2 linked regions of the Neodiprion lecontei genome follow. The protein of the gene in region 2 purifies or fractionates together with the protein of the main gene of each other region. This does not show direct contact. Links are inferred from orthologs where the notes say so. Each region holds a gene or a part of one and is shown on either strand. Other genes may lie near its edges. The genes, in order: EARP-interacting protein homolog and syndetin.

What was found.
Region 1: the proteins of syndetin (region 2) and EARP-interacting protein homolog purify together in Homo sapiens (affinity purification with mass spectrometry; 4 studies listed by BioGRID and IntAct, counting the BioPlex papers as one, with this or other methods). This does not show direct contact. The link is inferred for Neodiprion lecontei from reciprocal best matches to the Homo sapiens genes VPS50 and EIPR1.

Annotation. Positions count from the first base shown.
Region 1 is NC_060262.1:28,533,723-28,539,993, reverse strand, and holds EARP-interacting protein homolog, read left to right. Parts: upstream 1-2,892; 5' UTR 2,893-3,025; coding exon 3,026-3,067; intron 3,068-3,293; coding exon 3,294-3,519; intron 3,520-3,605; coding exon 3,606-3,826; intron 3,827-3,934; coding exon 3,935-4,116; intron 4,117-4,198; coding exon 4,199-4,495; intron 4,496-4,527; exon of another isoform or gene 4,528-4,724; coding exon 4,725-4,887; 3' UTR 4,888-4,923; downstream 4,924-6,271. Other genes in the region: RNA-binding protein pno1, read right to left, coding at 5,397-5,924, 6,167-6,256. UniProt on the Homo sapiens protein: Acts as a component of endosomal retrieval machinery that is involved in protein transport from early endosomes to either recycling endosomes or the trans-Golgi network.
Region 2 is NC_060266.1:19,305,439-19,314,968, forward strand, and holds syndetin, read right to left. Parts: upstream 6,718-9,530; 5' UTR 6,518-6,717; coding exon 6,428-6,517; intron 6,179-6,427; coding exon 5,663-6,178; intron 5,222-5,662; coding exon 4,542-5,221; intron 4,472-4,541; coding exon 4,093-4,471; intron 3,919-4,092; coding exon 3,628-3,918; intron 3,521-3,627; coding exon 3,056-3,520; intron 2,942-3,055; coding exon 2,820-2,941; coding exon of another isoform or gene 2,816-2,819; exon of another isoform or gene 2,797-2,815; intron 2,688-2,796; coding exon 2,498-2,687; intron 2,402-2,497; coding exon 2,291-2,401; 3' UTR 1,727-2,290; downstream 1-1,726.

The sequences.
Region 1 (6,271 bases), on a different chromosome or scaffold from region 2:
CGTTATAGTTCTCTGTAATTCTTTCATGAATACTATAGACATTTTTATTTTCTATTTTAGACTAATAAAACCCATCTGCTGTACTCTGTGCTGTATATATATATATATAGGGTGGTATTATACAGTGGAACGCGCGTTAATTTATTAGATGGAGGGGGAATCCACATCTGCTTTTACTGCTCGGGTGACATGTGAATTCAAACACATTTCATATTATGCAGATCAATTTAAAATATATTCAATCGAAACACTGACACTACACAGAGGTATCGGGCGTACCAATTATTATCGTTGCTATTGTTGTACGTGTATGTATACCGGCAGAGTGAGCGACGACGCGTTTTAATTTGATACAATTGAATCTGACTCAAGTACATTATAATAACTGCATAGAGAGTTTTCATACACAGATATACGAGGAGGTTATAACTTTATGATCATACGATGAATTGGAGCAGAACAATATGTTGCGAATGACTCGCACGAACATTATAAATCATAATTGTTGTCAATTAATGTACGCAAACGTTGCATTTCAATTCTATTAATTCGTTGAAAAAAATATAGTAAATAATAAATAACTCTATCAAAAACTTTGTACATAACTTTTCGACAAATTTTCTCAATTTTGATGGTTACCTATGCAAATACAATTAATTTACCGGGTCAATGTTTCTCAATTTTCTACGATAGACGTATAATGTTTTGTGAACGTAAAACTCCTCATTCTGTGTGCTTGCTGTAAATATTTGATCGCTATTTCGGGGTTTCTAGGGTATAATCGAGGGTATAATTTCTGTTCAGCCTGTAAGCCGAGAAGACGATCAAGATTACTACGAGTCTCCGGATCAGCTGTTGACCCTCGATCGAAATGCGTATAAAAGATGATAGACAAAGATGCACAAATTTTTTCAATACACATCATATGAACTAGAGGTTCTTGTTAACTAAGTAATCGACGTTTTCGAACCCATTAGCCCTTCTCCGTTCTTAACAAGTGTAAATATGTACAATCGGCAGAGCGAATAAATAGATCAATAATCGTTAGGACAAGGCTTCCAAAATGATTAATCCAGACGTTAGATATTCGCCCTGTATAATTAAAAACCCGTAATGATTGTCAGTACCGCTTTGCAGCCCTTCGACGTCTCGTTTAATAGCTGAGCAAAAGCATTTATCGACGCGTGATAATATTTTTAATGCATGTAGAATATAAATTTAAGGGACGACTGTCCCGGGCAATTAGCTGCCGAATTCGCTGCTCGAAAATTATACAAATTACGTGTAACGGATGTAAATCCAATATCATTCTAAGATTGGTAGAAATTGCACTCTGAAAGCACCGACTTCATGGCAATAATTTAAATTATGAGAACCGTTGGTAAACAAAAAAAATAACAGCATGTTGCAGAGAGGATGTCTGAGACGAAGGATGCCTAAGCCAACTATACGTATAATAGTAATTACAGTTATTGATACAGACAAGTCTATTTCTCGGGCATATGAACGTTGCTGAGCTGAGCAGTTTTCTTTTTTAAGGCAAAAGAGACAATTTGCATTGATTTAAACACGAAGATCCGCATTGTTCGTTCGATATTTTCCTTCAAGGATTGTATGAATTGCCAATAAATATCCTTTCCAAATGCCACGGAATTCGTTCCAACTGCAAATGCAACTAACGATTTTAGCTAAAAACAATTTGAAATCGAAACGACGATGTTAATCACCGCAAAGGATATAACAAGTTTGAGAAGATCGCACAACACGTTGATAAACTGGGATTTTATCTACTGCGTCTTCGTTGAATTTAACGTGATGTCATGCCAGCAGGATTTAAGTTTATTTGCAAAATCTGGGCGAACGAATATTGTTTACTTTTGCAAATCCTATACATGTACAAACACGTTCATCGTAGTAAAAACGTTCGATCATTTGAATAGTCTCAGGAATAAGAGATTACATTTTACCGTTCATCATTCAACGGCTCGAAATATCGGTTGCGAGAAACTTTGCAGAAATATTAATGGAACCGACGGCCGTCTTGCAAACAGGTAACTGCACGGAATTAAAAACAACGCCGCAGCAGTAGAGCGAGACACACACTCAGGTATACTCTCATCCCTGCACAGAAGGACAGTGTGACATGTGATTTTATATCGGGTTTTTGAACATCCTCGGTACAGCCGCTGGGCTCGTTGAACCGTAAACCTGTATCCGTCACAGGGACGAAGGCGTAAAAATTAATACAAAAAAACCGTCTGAATCCTGGATATTACTTACAACTGGTGCGGCGGCGTCAGCATAACTCTATTAAAAATAATGCACAGGTATAGACACGTTCACTGCACCCACGCACACGGCTCCGATGCTAATCGGACATGTTACAAAACCGATACAAAACTTCGCCCGCAATGCAACAGACCTCAAGGAGCCCTCGAAATCAACGGGTTTGTGTTCGGCTTTCGGCCACTGTGGTCCGTTTGACATAATTTATTTGGTGACCCCACGACGGCTGCTTCGGGACTTTCAAGGGTGGGGGGCCTGCTATGTATGCGTATGAAAACTCATTGTGTGCGTATGCGTGTCTGAATCGCGGTACAGGCATGAAGTAACTGGCACATGTAGATCCGCGCCTGGCGTCTGCGGGGTTTGTGGCACGACTGCGCCATCTGACGAGACTAGGGTGTGCGGTACACGATACGGTGGTTGAAAAAAAGGCTAAAGAATTTAGATACGGTATGCATTAAAAATGAAGATAAAGTCCTTTGGAAATGAAAAGCTTTTCATCCCGTTGGATGAAAGTTGAAAGGAAATTTTACACCCTTGAAAGTTTTGTCCAACTTCTATACGGTTCCACGATGTTTGAAGCTCTTCCTCAAAAAAATTACATGGTTGAGATCTCTGTTGGGTTTAAGCTCAATGACTTGAACGACTGTACTTGAGAAACTTTTTGTTGCGGCATGGTGTGTTTTGACACCTGTCAACAGTGACACTGACCCAAAGGAATTATTTTATTCTACGAAATATGGATACTGACAATCCAATAATATATGGCCTCGAGTTTCAAGTAAGAAGGTTAATCCACCAACGTTTATCTTATTACTTTCATTCGACATATTTCAACTTTACCAGTAAGACGATGTCTAACCTAACCTAACCCGACGTTCAGAGTTTGAAAGCCAGGAAATCACGAATGAATTGTTGCAAGTTTCATTGCACAGTTAAAGGATTTTCACTCGACGATTATGTTTTGAGAGCGTATTCTTAAGTAATACATTTCATATTTATTTCAGGCTAGAGCATTATCACCTCAAACAGCAGAAGCTGATATCGTGAGATTTCTGGTCGGAACGCAATCGTTGAAGTTTCACGACAATCAAGTACATTTGGTTGAACTTGACGAGGAAACAGGTAGTTTGAAAACGCAAGTCTTTCAGCACTCGATTGGAGAAATATGGAACTTACAGGCCTCTCCTGCCGATCCATCAAATTTTATTACTTGCTATAATACTCTGAATGGTGAGTGATCATTGGGCAATTTATTCGCTTCACTAACTTTTGAAAAGAAACACCTGAATAATTCTGATAAACACCTAATTCGTCAGATGAAGGAATTTGTCAGATGAAAGGAGCTATATGGAAATTGCCTCTTACCGAAACTGACGCACACGAAATCCAAAAACTTGAAAATGCAGCAGAAATTGATACAACCACTTATGGCAGTGATCTTAGAATTATTACTTATCATCCGACGGATGGTACTAAAGTTGTTTCCGTCGTAGACAATAACTTTGTACTCTGGGACCTAGCAGCTAGTGCTCCCAAGGTATTTCCCTTTGCTATTTACAGGGCAATTTGCGATTCAATTGATAATTCAGTCTGTAACAGATATTAATAAATTTATGAATTTCATATTATTTTCTCAAAATTTTAGGCAGTTACGCAAGGGACCTTGGCTAGTAAAGGTCAACCAAAGTTTACTACTGGTAAATGGAATCCACATAATACTTGCAATCAATTTGTAACATTAAATGACAACCACGTGCGTGGTTGGGATTTTAGAAATCCAACTGATCAGGTGTGGGCAATCCAGTCAGCTCACTCTCAAATTATAAGGTGAAGATTAATCAACTCATCTAAATATTTTCACTAAATTTTGCAAATTCAGCAACAATGTATTGAACCTACGACATTGCAGAGACCTGGATTTTAACACCAACCGTCAATACATCTTGTCAACCTGTGGTGATGATGGCTATATGAAATTTTGGGATATCCGACAGCCATCTGAGCCTGTAATGTCGCGAATGGAGCATTCTCATTGGGTTTGGAGTATCAGAATAAACCGTTTCCACGACCAACTAGTTCTAACATCTAGTAGTGATTCTCGAGTAATATTATGCAGTATATCATCTATTTCTTCAGAACCGTTTGGTCACCTAATTTCAAGCGAAGACGAACCTGCGCAAACCGATGATGGCTCCAACAAAAACAAGTAGGCGTATTCAATTTTATTTTTTTGTCACCTTATGACGCATGATGAGATAAATATCAATCCATGTTCGTTATTATTGGGATTCGTGAATAATTTTCAATAGAGCTTGCTCAATTATGTGCCCAGTACTTACACTCAAGGGTCAAAGTCAAGTTTTGATCAAGCATCGATTAGAGATCTATTACCGACTCTGAAGATCAATTCTATTTTATATAACCAACAATTTCAGAATGGAAGATAGCGTTGTAGGAAGGTACGAGGAGCATGAAGACAGTGTTTATGGAGTTGAATGGTCATCTGCTGACCCGTGGACTTTCGCGTCACTGAGTTACGATGGCAGACTGGTAATTAACAAAGTGCCACGAAAATATAAGTACCAAATACTATTGTAAATATTAAAAGTAATAAAGAATTAAATTTTATATAAATTTAGAAAAAACCTAGTTTTCATTTTGCGTAAGAGTAAAGAATTGCTCAACTGGTACAAGTGACGACCAATATTATTGATATACCAATCAACCTGCAGTTGATACAGAGTATTATGTAATTATTCGACATACATACTTTGTTACAACTCGCAAGAGATAATTGAAACCATGAGTAAAAATGTGAAATAATTTTTGTCATAGACAAAAGGTAGGATTTATATTCCTCTCTCTGAATTATGTACAATAGTTTGAAGTATTTCTTCCAGTGTACAAAAAAAAGTTAGCCACAAATACACATAATTATACGTAAGCAGTTTGTATCGAAGCAAATGAGAATTTGCTAATCTGTTACAATTGCTCAATCCAAATATTTAAGACTGTTATTTTCACTGACACGGTTTACGTTTGTTAGCAATATGGTAAACATAAAAAGAAAATAAATTTTGCTGGGGAGTTTTGACTGAAACGTTTAATTACAATCGCTCTGATATTCGGCCAGCGACATTCCTCAATTGACCATAAACTTTTGATGGTGGACTTCCCAAGATTAAATTGCAAATTGCTCTTCGTGCAAGTTGTATATTTTGGAAAGATCCAAGAATATGAATTTTAGTATCAGCCAAAACTATTCTTGTTTTTGTCACATTTTCAATGGTAAATTTTGTTCTACCCCCTTTGCCAGCTAACCTACCTATCGCTCTGGACAAATGGTCACCCTTCAGTGGTTTCACATCTTGAACCTCGAATGTTTCGACAAATAAATCATCCAACCGCAATAAGGCCAATGCATCTTCGACTTCAAAACCATTGATGAATGCCCGCACAAAATCAGCAGCTTTTTGAAGATTTGATATATCAGGTGTGTCAGGGCATGTACGAATTTCTACATTTCTAGATTTCAAATTAAAGCGAATTTGAAGTTGTAGATGCTCAACAACAGGGGTGAAGATCTTCATCCAATTCTCTTTAAGCGGTGTATATCTATGCGCAGGCACTGGAACCTGAAGAAATCACGTGAATTATTTTAACATGTTGTTGAAATGTTGACATTACAGTGAAACTTCCTAATAGCAAACACCTTTGAGACCAGAAATCTTGTCCGCTATAGAGAAGTGTCCGTTACTAAAAGGTATATTTTTCATTATGCTTTTCTACCGGAGACTTCTAACTTGTCCGTTATAAAGAGGTGTCCGCTGTTAAGAGAAGTTTCACTATATCGCGAAATGATCATTGGAATACTCACCTTCCGTTGCTCACCACCTTGGACATTTTTGGCTCGTTTGACAGAAGATTTAGTTTTCGACTTCCCTTCGATACCATTCACCGCATCGACCTGAAAATCAGCATG
Region 2 (9,530 bases):
GACTTACATTCTTCATGTACTCTATGAAGACAATCTTCAGCAGCAATTTCAACATCTATAATTATAAATCAATTTCCCACTGTATTCAGACTTGTACTTATATTATAATTATGTGAATATTATATATATATACGATTATGATTGAGAGTCCAAATGATTCCGCGAGGTCACAGCAGTGATAATAAATCACCTGTGAACAACACTTTCAGATATAAAGCAGTATATATCTGTACGTCCTTGTTATACTCGAAATTATTCACTTTGAGAGTATATATTTATCGATTTTCGTGTGTTCAAAGGCATTTAGTTTTGTATTTCGACTACTAAAATGTCGCGTGTTTTTGCAACGTTTCCAATATAACATTTTTAAAAATGAGATTAAGCGAGCTATGCTTTATTGCAATATGTATATTATATAACCTAAACGCTTCTTCTATTACTGAAGACCTGTTATGTACATAAATTTATTATTTTTACGATTTAATTAATAATCCTTATAGTTTAGTCTACGTATTATTACTATTATTAATATTTACCGTCGTAAGTGATTCATGGTTACTTTAGGTAACTATTCGATTCTACGAGTGCTTAGTCCGTCCAGTGTGTCAATGTTAGTTTCAGCGGCATGTGCTATATAAATCGTGCAAAGAATTAGTAGTACAGTCCAAAAAATTTTCGCGTTCGTGTCATTTTGTCGTTACATTTCTTCGTACCATGTAATGGTTTTTCCCCTCATGATTTGCATGGCCGGAATTTGCGAGGAGAAAACAAAAATAATAAAAATAAATATAAAATACGAACAATGCATCACTATTACTTCTTCTTAAAAGTTGACGACCTTTTTTATATCGTAAAACTTTATAATCCCTAATTTAATATTAAAAATCGTTTCCTACGATAAGTGTAACTGCTATACCTGATATTATGGACCATAATAAAAAAAATGTATGTTTTTTTTGTACCTAATCAAACCACGTCGCTATAATTGAATTATACCTTTATATAGTGACAAGTATGATAATTCGTACAAATACTAGTACTTTTCGATTACTTTTAACTAGCCCAATTTATCGAGCAAACGTGACAAAGTTATAATAATATATTACGATAATGTATCATAATTTCTGTGACATAGAAGCAGAGAAAAAACGCGTTGTTTCTTTTACTACAATTTATATTCATAGATGAGTATGAAAAAGAAGTAAAAATTGTCAAATCCAGTATGAAAATTAGAAACAATATTATCATATTTAATGACAGCTGTAGAATAATTGCTAACAATTCTTAGGTGAATTTTGATAACGGATATTGTGGTGTGAGTCGAACAGCAATTTCTGACTGTGATTGCTGCATGTCCTCTGAGTTTCAATGCCATGAAATCAGTTGAAATTATTGGGAAGGCCATCAAATTTCGGAAAGTAAGCATTCGAATTTTAAGAACTAATTGGTTTATTACACACGTATCAGTTTTAGTAAGTATGAAGAATATCGTGTAACACAATACTTTAAGTTTCGTTTATGTATTTATTTACGCTATCTGATGAATTTATAAATAATTATATTCTGTTATAACAGCCTGAATTTGAATTGATAAAAAGTAAATTATTATTGAAAAGGAGATTAATTTTTTTAGGCAACATAATAAATTATGTGGTTCCTTCTATTTCTAAGTGTCATTTATGGTGCCCTATATCAGTCAATTTCAATCAATTCCTTACTCTATAAATACCTACAAATATGTCTTTATTTCACTTTTTAGGGATTAAAAATTCATAGTAAAGAATCGTATAAACAATGTACATAAGAGATAATAACTTTTCCAACGTGAGTTCAATGAGATTACATCGTAACTTGCCAGCAGGGAGATTTCGTCACGGTTTGGATTCGAAAATCGAAACCAGTTCAATTATTTTTATATCTATAAGCCTCCCGTCTGTATTTTATCTCTTCCATTTAAATCTTTTCTGAATCAATCCAAAAATATTTAACAACCGTTACTCGCACATGTTCAAATGAGAGATTCATATCGGTGTTTAACACAGAATGTAAGTATCATTAAGTAATGATATGCACCGATTTGCGAAATATTTGCTGTAAAGCTAGAATGTGTTTTTTACCTAACAGTTAGAGAAACTGTACAACATATACATAACAGTATTGACAACTTAAGTATCACAATAATTGTGTCAGATTTATATTATAATTATAGCAGAGCAGCAATTCGATAATATTCAAATTTTATAATTCTATTGCAACTTCGTTTTACAGTTATTGATCATACAGCTTGTTGTTATCTGCTCGGTCGTTCCTCCTCTATGATGGATATTAATCGCTGTCGGGTTTTTTTGTTGTTTTGACATCCGCACGATATAAGACCGATCAAATGTTTTGTAGAATATTCCTGTAATCAGTAGTAGGATCCATCAGACAACAATGAAATACGTTCAATCACAAACGGGCGAGTAATCATGTACTGTATATAAATAGAAATTCATACCTTATGTTGCTTTATCCATTCTTCCAATATGTTTTCAGGCAAATAATAAGCCTTGACGTATGCCTCGACGTATTCTCTGTGCGGCATAGGTCGCAAAGATGTTAATTTTTCAAACTTCGACATTAATTGGGTAAAATCCAACTGCATCAAGGCTCTGCCTCCATTTGAACATTTCTTTGCATTCGAGAAACTGAAATCACAAATTCAACCTGCTAGATTCAACATTAACGAACAATTTGAATGCCTACGTATCCATTCAGAATATCATATTCATTTTTATGTCAATACATTCAAATTACTTTGATCTGTCCGAAGTTCTTACCCTTCGACTAAAGTGTGTGTGATCAAGTGAGCAATATTTTCCCACACTGAATTGTACACTATTATAGGAAGTGGTATTCTGTTCCCAATTTCCTCAAGCCTCATGCTTAAAATTTGAATGTCCTGAAACAGGAATTCGTTTCATTGCTACTGTATTTGTACATTATGACATAATTGTAACAATATCATCAACTTTCCGTTCAGAACCCATTTTCACAAATGTTTGTCACTAATTACCCTTAATAGATTGTCAATATAACTGCTGTGCTGTGACATAACATCTCTCACTTCCCAATTAACTTTCGACATCAGCGTTAATATACCGCCAACATCGAAGGACTGAGATGCAGCAGCCATGTAAACAGGTTTTCGGAGATCTGTAGCTGCTGCAATCGTTTGGGAATAGAATTGATGAAGAAATCCGTGGCAGGGAGAAGCTACTAGGTGCTCCAAATAAGGCCTCAAAATTTCGTACTGCTGTCCCAAAAATATCAGAGATTCAACGGCTATCACTCTTTTCATCAAGCCATGAATTTTTTCTGGCTGAGTCAAGTTCACTATCGAAGAGAGACACGGTTGTGTTACTTTATGTGACTGAGCTCCACTCTCAGTCGTAACTGCACTGTCTGCCATCAAAGTCTCGCGTATTCGAGCCAAGGTCAACTTTAATTTTGGAGTGTACAACGTGTCGCTGTTTATTTGCTGAAATAAAATTTTGTGTCGTAATATAGTAGAAATAGCGTGGTAAATTTAAATGCAATTATAAGCGATTTTTGTGTAACCTTAATGCTTAATCGTGAGAAACATACCAGATCCGAAGTGAAGAACATGTGTACAGTGTAAAGACACAGTTCAAAGAATTGTGTCATATTTTGAATAACAGTAACAGCAATGGATCTAAATAATCTTGACATTTGTAGATACTTTCCACAAACTCTGAGCACACTCAACGTTGTGTTTGTTACCATTGGCCCAGCAAATTGTTGTTTATGTTTTTTTTTCGAGGGTTTCGATTGGTCGGGCTCATCTACAAAATCACATTTCAGTTCCTCCGGAATGTCGTCGTCAGAATCGTCTGAAAAATACCCAGAAGGTGCATCCTGTAAAAGGTAATATACTCTTTATAAAACCTGGTGATTGAGTGTTTAAAAAAATGTCTAAAATAAATGACAACTACTACAGATTGCTAAAAGTTTTATTACTTTTAACAACACTTTCTTGCATTCTAATTAATTATTAACGAACTTTGAACAATTTCTTTCATTTATACTTACTCCAATGTTGGCCAAAATGTCTTCGTCAGCAGCTTCATCCAGGATGACATCAAAGGGCGTTACACCGTTATCCAAATATCTTTGGACCAGTCCTCCAATGACAGAACTACCATCTTGACTCAAGGTAGATTCGTCAGGGCTATTGCGAGGCTTACAACTATTGAGGACAGTCTTCAAGCTTTTAAATTCTTGCAGTTGCGTGACAACGAACGATGGCTTAACAGGACAAAGTTCCCAGCCATCATTTTCCAAAAATATCTTCAACTCGTCTAATCGAGACGCGTGGTAATGAGCAAAGTAGGAAGAGCACTGTTTTCTTATTGATTCTTGGAGATTCTCTGACTGACTTGAGCAGAGCTCTTCCCCAACTTCGATTAACCTAGAAAATTGAGGAACATGGTTCAGGACGTCTCGTAATTCGACAGTAAATGTAAAATATCAGATCTCACCTATGAACGATTCCCAAAATTTGTACAAACTGCTCAAACTTGAAGTAGGCCAAATCAGCGCCCAACAAATACGTGGATATTTTGGTTTCTACATCGTGCCACATTCTGGACATTCCATTTTCCAGCTTTTGCTTAACATACTGTTTATTAAAGGTAGCTTCTAGATCTTTTTCTTCAGTCTCATCTGACCAGCTTTCATGCGTATTGTGCCAATTGACAACTTGACAATAGGAAATTAAAATGGCCCAGAGAGACTTGCACAGTTCGATTAAACAAGGTAGAAATGTCTCGTGCGAGACTGACTGGCAGAGCTGTTTATAAGGCCTTTTTGTGTCACCACCGGTGAAAGCGTGAACTGCCATAAAAGCAACGTTATGAATAGCTGCTGTAAAGTGCATGTGAAGTTGGTCCATTGCCGTCTGGGTTTTTCCGAGAAGTCTGTACGCTCCTTGGACAGACAAATACGTCCCAACTTCAAATTCTGTACACATTTTTGCCAGCGTTTGATCCAGAGTTTCTTCCGCCTGTTCCAAGGTGTCCTGGAGTTTCCCATTCAGTGCGGCTACGCAATGAAAATGTTTATATCTCTCAGCAGCTCTTTGGCATTCAAGGAGCAGCGATATTGCTCCTGGGTAATTCCCTTCGTTCAGAAGTTCCTGAAGGCGGTCCTCTGTTCGTTGCTACGCTTTCGAAGAAGAAAAAAACAAGCATTGAGTTAAAAAAATGTGTGACGCTCAAGTATTTGCCTATGTATATCAACTATTCGTACTTCAAATCTGCAACTAGTTAGATAATTTTATCGTTATGTTATTTCTGCAAGCTCGAAATAATGTTTCTATTTATATTTACAATTAGTTAAAAAGAGTTGGTAAAGAAAAATTGCAACATTGAATTTTAAATTAAATTAAATTATTAGGCTATCTGTAAAGAACAAAACAAATTTGAACTCTCCAATTTTCCAAGGGTTTTCACAGGGAAAACTTAAAAAATATTCCATGATATTTTTATATGTATTAAAAGATTGATATCGATGTGGAATAGTTTGTTATATGTTCAGACTAAACAATTCACCTGGTTTTTGGTCTAGAATCACTGCACGTGTAATATCAGTAGGAACTCACTAAGGTTTTTATGGTGTTTAAACTATGCAGAAGCCCTTGAACGACTTGTTTCTTTTGATAGTTAGCCAAAATCCCAAGACTAGCAGTGGTGAACTGTTTTTTAGCAAGGCTTAAATCCATCCTTCCACTTCGGCAAATTTCCAAGGCATTTTGAAGTTCTTCTTGAATGTACAAGATTCTTTCGAACTCCTTTTGGCATAAGCTTTGCTTTTGCAATATTAGCTGTAACACTTTTTTAGAAACAACTTGGTGCTCTTGTTTAAGCCTTTTGTAGTCTCTTTCGATTACTTTAGAATTCAGAACTTCGGGAAGTTTCTGTAACTCATGACGACAACAATCAAAGCAGTCATCGCTCTCGTAATACACAGATTCTATGGATTCCAGAATGTCTTGATCGGGAAGCAGCTCGCTTTCAGTCGAATGACTAGCATCGGACTGAATGTCGTTAAGGCCTTGAGATTCGATTGGGTTGAGGAGATCGGGATTCAATCCCATTGACGGGATCTTAGCCTGATTCTGAAAATAAAAAAATACAAATCAGTTTTTCGCCATAAAAAAAGCAACTGTTTCGAGTCTTCGGTTAGTTTTACTAGCGTTCGAGAAGGTGGCACACATACTGGTATCGACAGAGTGCCAAGTGAAATTTTACACTGAAACAAAGTTGTATACTATTGTGAAACTCATTGAGGAAGATGCAAAAATGTAATAGTAGGTAGAGAGCAATTTTAAATCAATTACAAGAAACAAGCTGAACAAGGAACTGACCTGCTTGTGAATCAGCGATAAGAACTTGAACTTGATATCCTCCATGTCGATGTGTTTTCTCAACAAAACTCCCACTTTACTTTCATCCATTTATATAGCTGTTATAATAGAGGCTGTTACCACCTCTGCTCAGCAATGAATCATCCAAATAATACCGTTAGCACACGCGCTTTCTGGACATTTGGAGGACTTATTTCTATTCCACGCACCGTGTCATGTGTCAAGACTACATCAACGTTATCAAGGCTGTCAAATCGGTAAAGTTAAGTCTCGCGACACGAAAGCTCTGTCATCGATTAAAAAAAAGTATAGAGATCCGAAACCTTAATAGCTCGCAGGCCGCTTTCCTTTTACATCAATTTTCTGACACGACACTATACTAAGTAATTTCATTGGCCTATTTCATTAGATCCGTCCAATGAAATCTCTTATAGCGTTTTCCACTGGTTGCACTGGGTGCGCACTGGCTCGAACAGGGGGCACTCGTTCCGTGCATGCATCGCCCGGCATCGGGGCAAACCTTCTGAGTGGAACAGGCCGTAAAACGTATAAAGGCAGACTAAATCATAATTTCTCCTAAATCAGAAATAATGTGACGTTACTTGACCGACTGCGCGACTGTCAGTTTTTCAAGCAAGTGGTAAAGAAGCCAATTGAACAAATGCAACGGTAATTTTTTGTTTGTAAATAAATGTCACAAATGTTAGACACGAGCATACAAGGGCAAAAAAAATTGACAATTCCGCTGAAAAGATAAAAATTAATAAGCAACAAGTCAAGTTTTCCCAATCTCCTGAAATATACCTAGCAGTTGACCTCTAGAAGCTGAAAAAATGTGTATCCATACTTCGATATCGGACATGCTGTGGATTACTCCTATGAAATTTAAAATTTTGGGAATCTCTCTATCTTTCGGCTCCAGCAAGCATCATCACTGCTGAACGACGATGAAATTAGATCTAATAAAAGAGTTGCTGTCTCAGCATCCACTTCGATTCTTTCACGATCGGCAGCCATAATTGCAATGCTTTGACACCGACTCCCGATTTGAGTGCTAGTATATTGCGTGGCAAGCGCCGAAAAGAGGTCGTTGCAGGGTATGCGATTTGCCCGGTAAAACGCAAGTCCTGCTCGACCTCTTTACGGCGCGAGCCATGTATTCTATTTGTCGTTCCATTTTCCCGCAAATTCGGCATTACGCGTCTGTTTTCAGATCGGATAAGGTTTTTGAGCTGGCACTTAAAAACAAACCTTATCCGGTCTGAAAACAGACGGAATGTACGATGTATGATGATATGATATGATATATGTATAATGATTTTAGTTTCTACATTTCAGACAAGAAATACGCACTTTATCTTTCCTGCCGTCTCCAGACTCAAGCGGCTAGACCCTTTGATGGTCAGCCGTTGACTAAGGATTCTTCAGTTAACGGGTCAGCTAATCACACTGCCGTTCTGCGACAGTTGAATGATAAAAATGTTTGCTCGTACATTTCAAATGTGTGTTACAATATACTCGAAGTTTTCAGAAGCTTCATTCTGTCTCTCTTTATTAAAGAAAAAAATCGCCGACAATCACCTTTTGAGAACTTTAAATCAGGACGCTGCGTTAAATACTCTCTCATATACGAAGTATCCATTTCATCTCGATCAAAATTAGCGCATCCGTTATGTATTACAGTTACTCTGAATTTTATTCCATACGAACACTTTTCCAAAAACAATTCTGTTTCTCTACCCAACGTAGATACTTCACTTGCGACTAGCTGAAACAGCGTTTCGATTCTATGCGTACGAAAATTCAAGATCGAGGCAACAAATGAAAAGTTGTTGGAATAATTATGAATAGTAATGTAAATACATGGTTGAGCAGTGGGACGAAGAGGACGAAGGTGGTCGAAGGTGGTTGGAGGTGTTTGGAACTAGTAGGCGGCGGTAGACGGTACGAGGTGGCAGGGTGTGGTAGAAGGTGGTTGGTGATGGTAAGAGGTGGTAGGAGGTGTTTGGACGTGGTTGGCGGTGATCGGAGTTGGTCGAGGAGGACGAGGACGACGAGGATGATGTGGGGGTTGTGGCGGAGCAAGACGAGGAGGGAGACGAGGTGGACGAGGAGGACGAAGGTGGTCGATGGTGGTCGGAGGTGGTTGACGGCGGTTGGCGGTGGACGAGGTCACGCTTCTTCTCACGGGGATGATCGAGCTGATCGACATTTTTAAGTCGCAGTCGACAAGTAGTCTTACGTACTCACTTTGTACCGACTCAATCTCGAGCTTTCATACCGACACTACTTTGGCTGGTACGAATGCTGGTGCGAGCTCGTTGGCTAGAGTTGATAGAGCAGAACCCTGCTACGCTCCCAGGCCCGCCTGGGCCCACTTGCCGGGCGAAAACTGGTCACAAAAATGTACCCAGGGGTATCCGTCTTTATGTTCTTCAGTCAACGCACAGACTCAGCCACCCCACTGATGTTTTTCTAGTTCTTTCTGCTGTAAAAGCATCGACTGAAGCTAGTCAACGACAAAAGCTCTGCTCATCGTGCAGGTGAAACGCGGGAAATATGAAGTACTTTGTACTTTTGTAGACTTAACTAGTGCTGGTCTTCAAGTGAAGTTAACACTAAGTCACAGTACATAATAACACAATGTTAATTAATTTGGCTCCTTTCTTCTGGTAATTTGAATCATAATTAAAGTTTATTTGACCGCTCAAATGCAACTTTTTTAATCGTAACTATGGTTCCCCATATTCTTTTATCAGGTACCGTCATTTTGGCAATTTTACAGTAGGAAAAGAGTCGGTAACAACGGTAGCGAACTAGTGGATGAACCGGTCTTCTGCATTGAGAGGATACTACAGTCCGTCTTTATCGGCCGCCTTTAAATATCACTTATTTTAACTTATCAAAGCCTACGCATCACTGCTGTGAAAATACAGCAGCTAGTGCAATTTCATGTGCAATGCCGAATACAAATGTCCAAAAAACAGTTACGTTTTATTAAAATATTCATCTAATGCCAAGAAAAGAGTTCCTATAATTGAATGACCAATTGTGTTTCGAACGAAATCAAAGAGTTTTTGAATAGTTTTGTTCGGCATTGCAT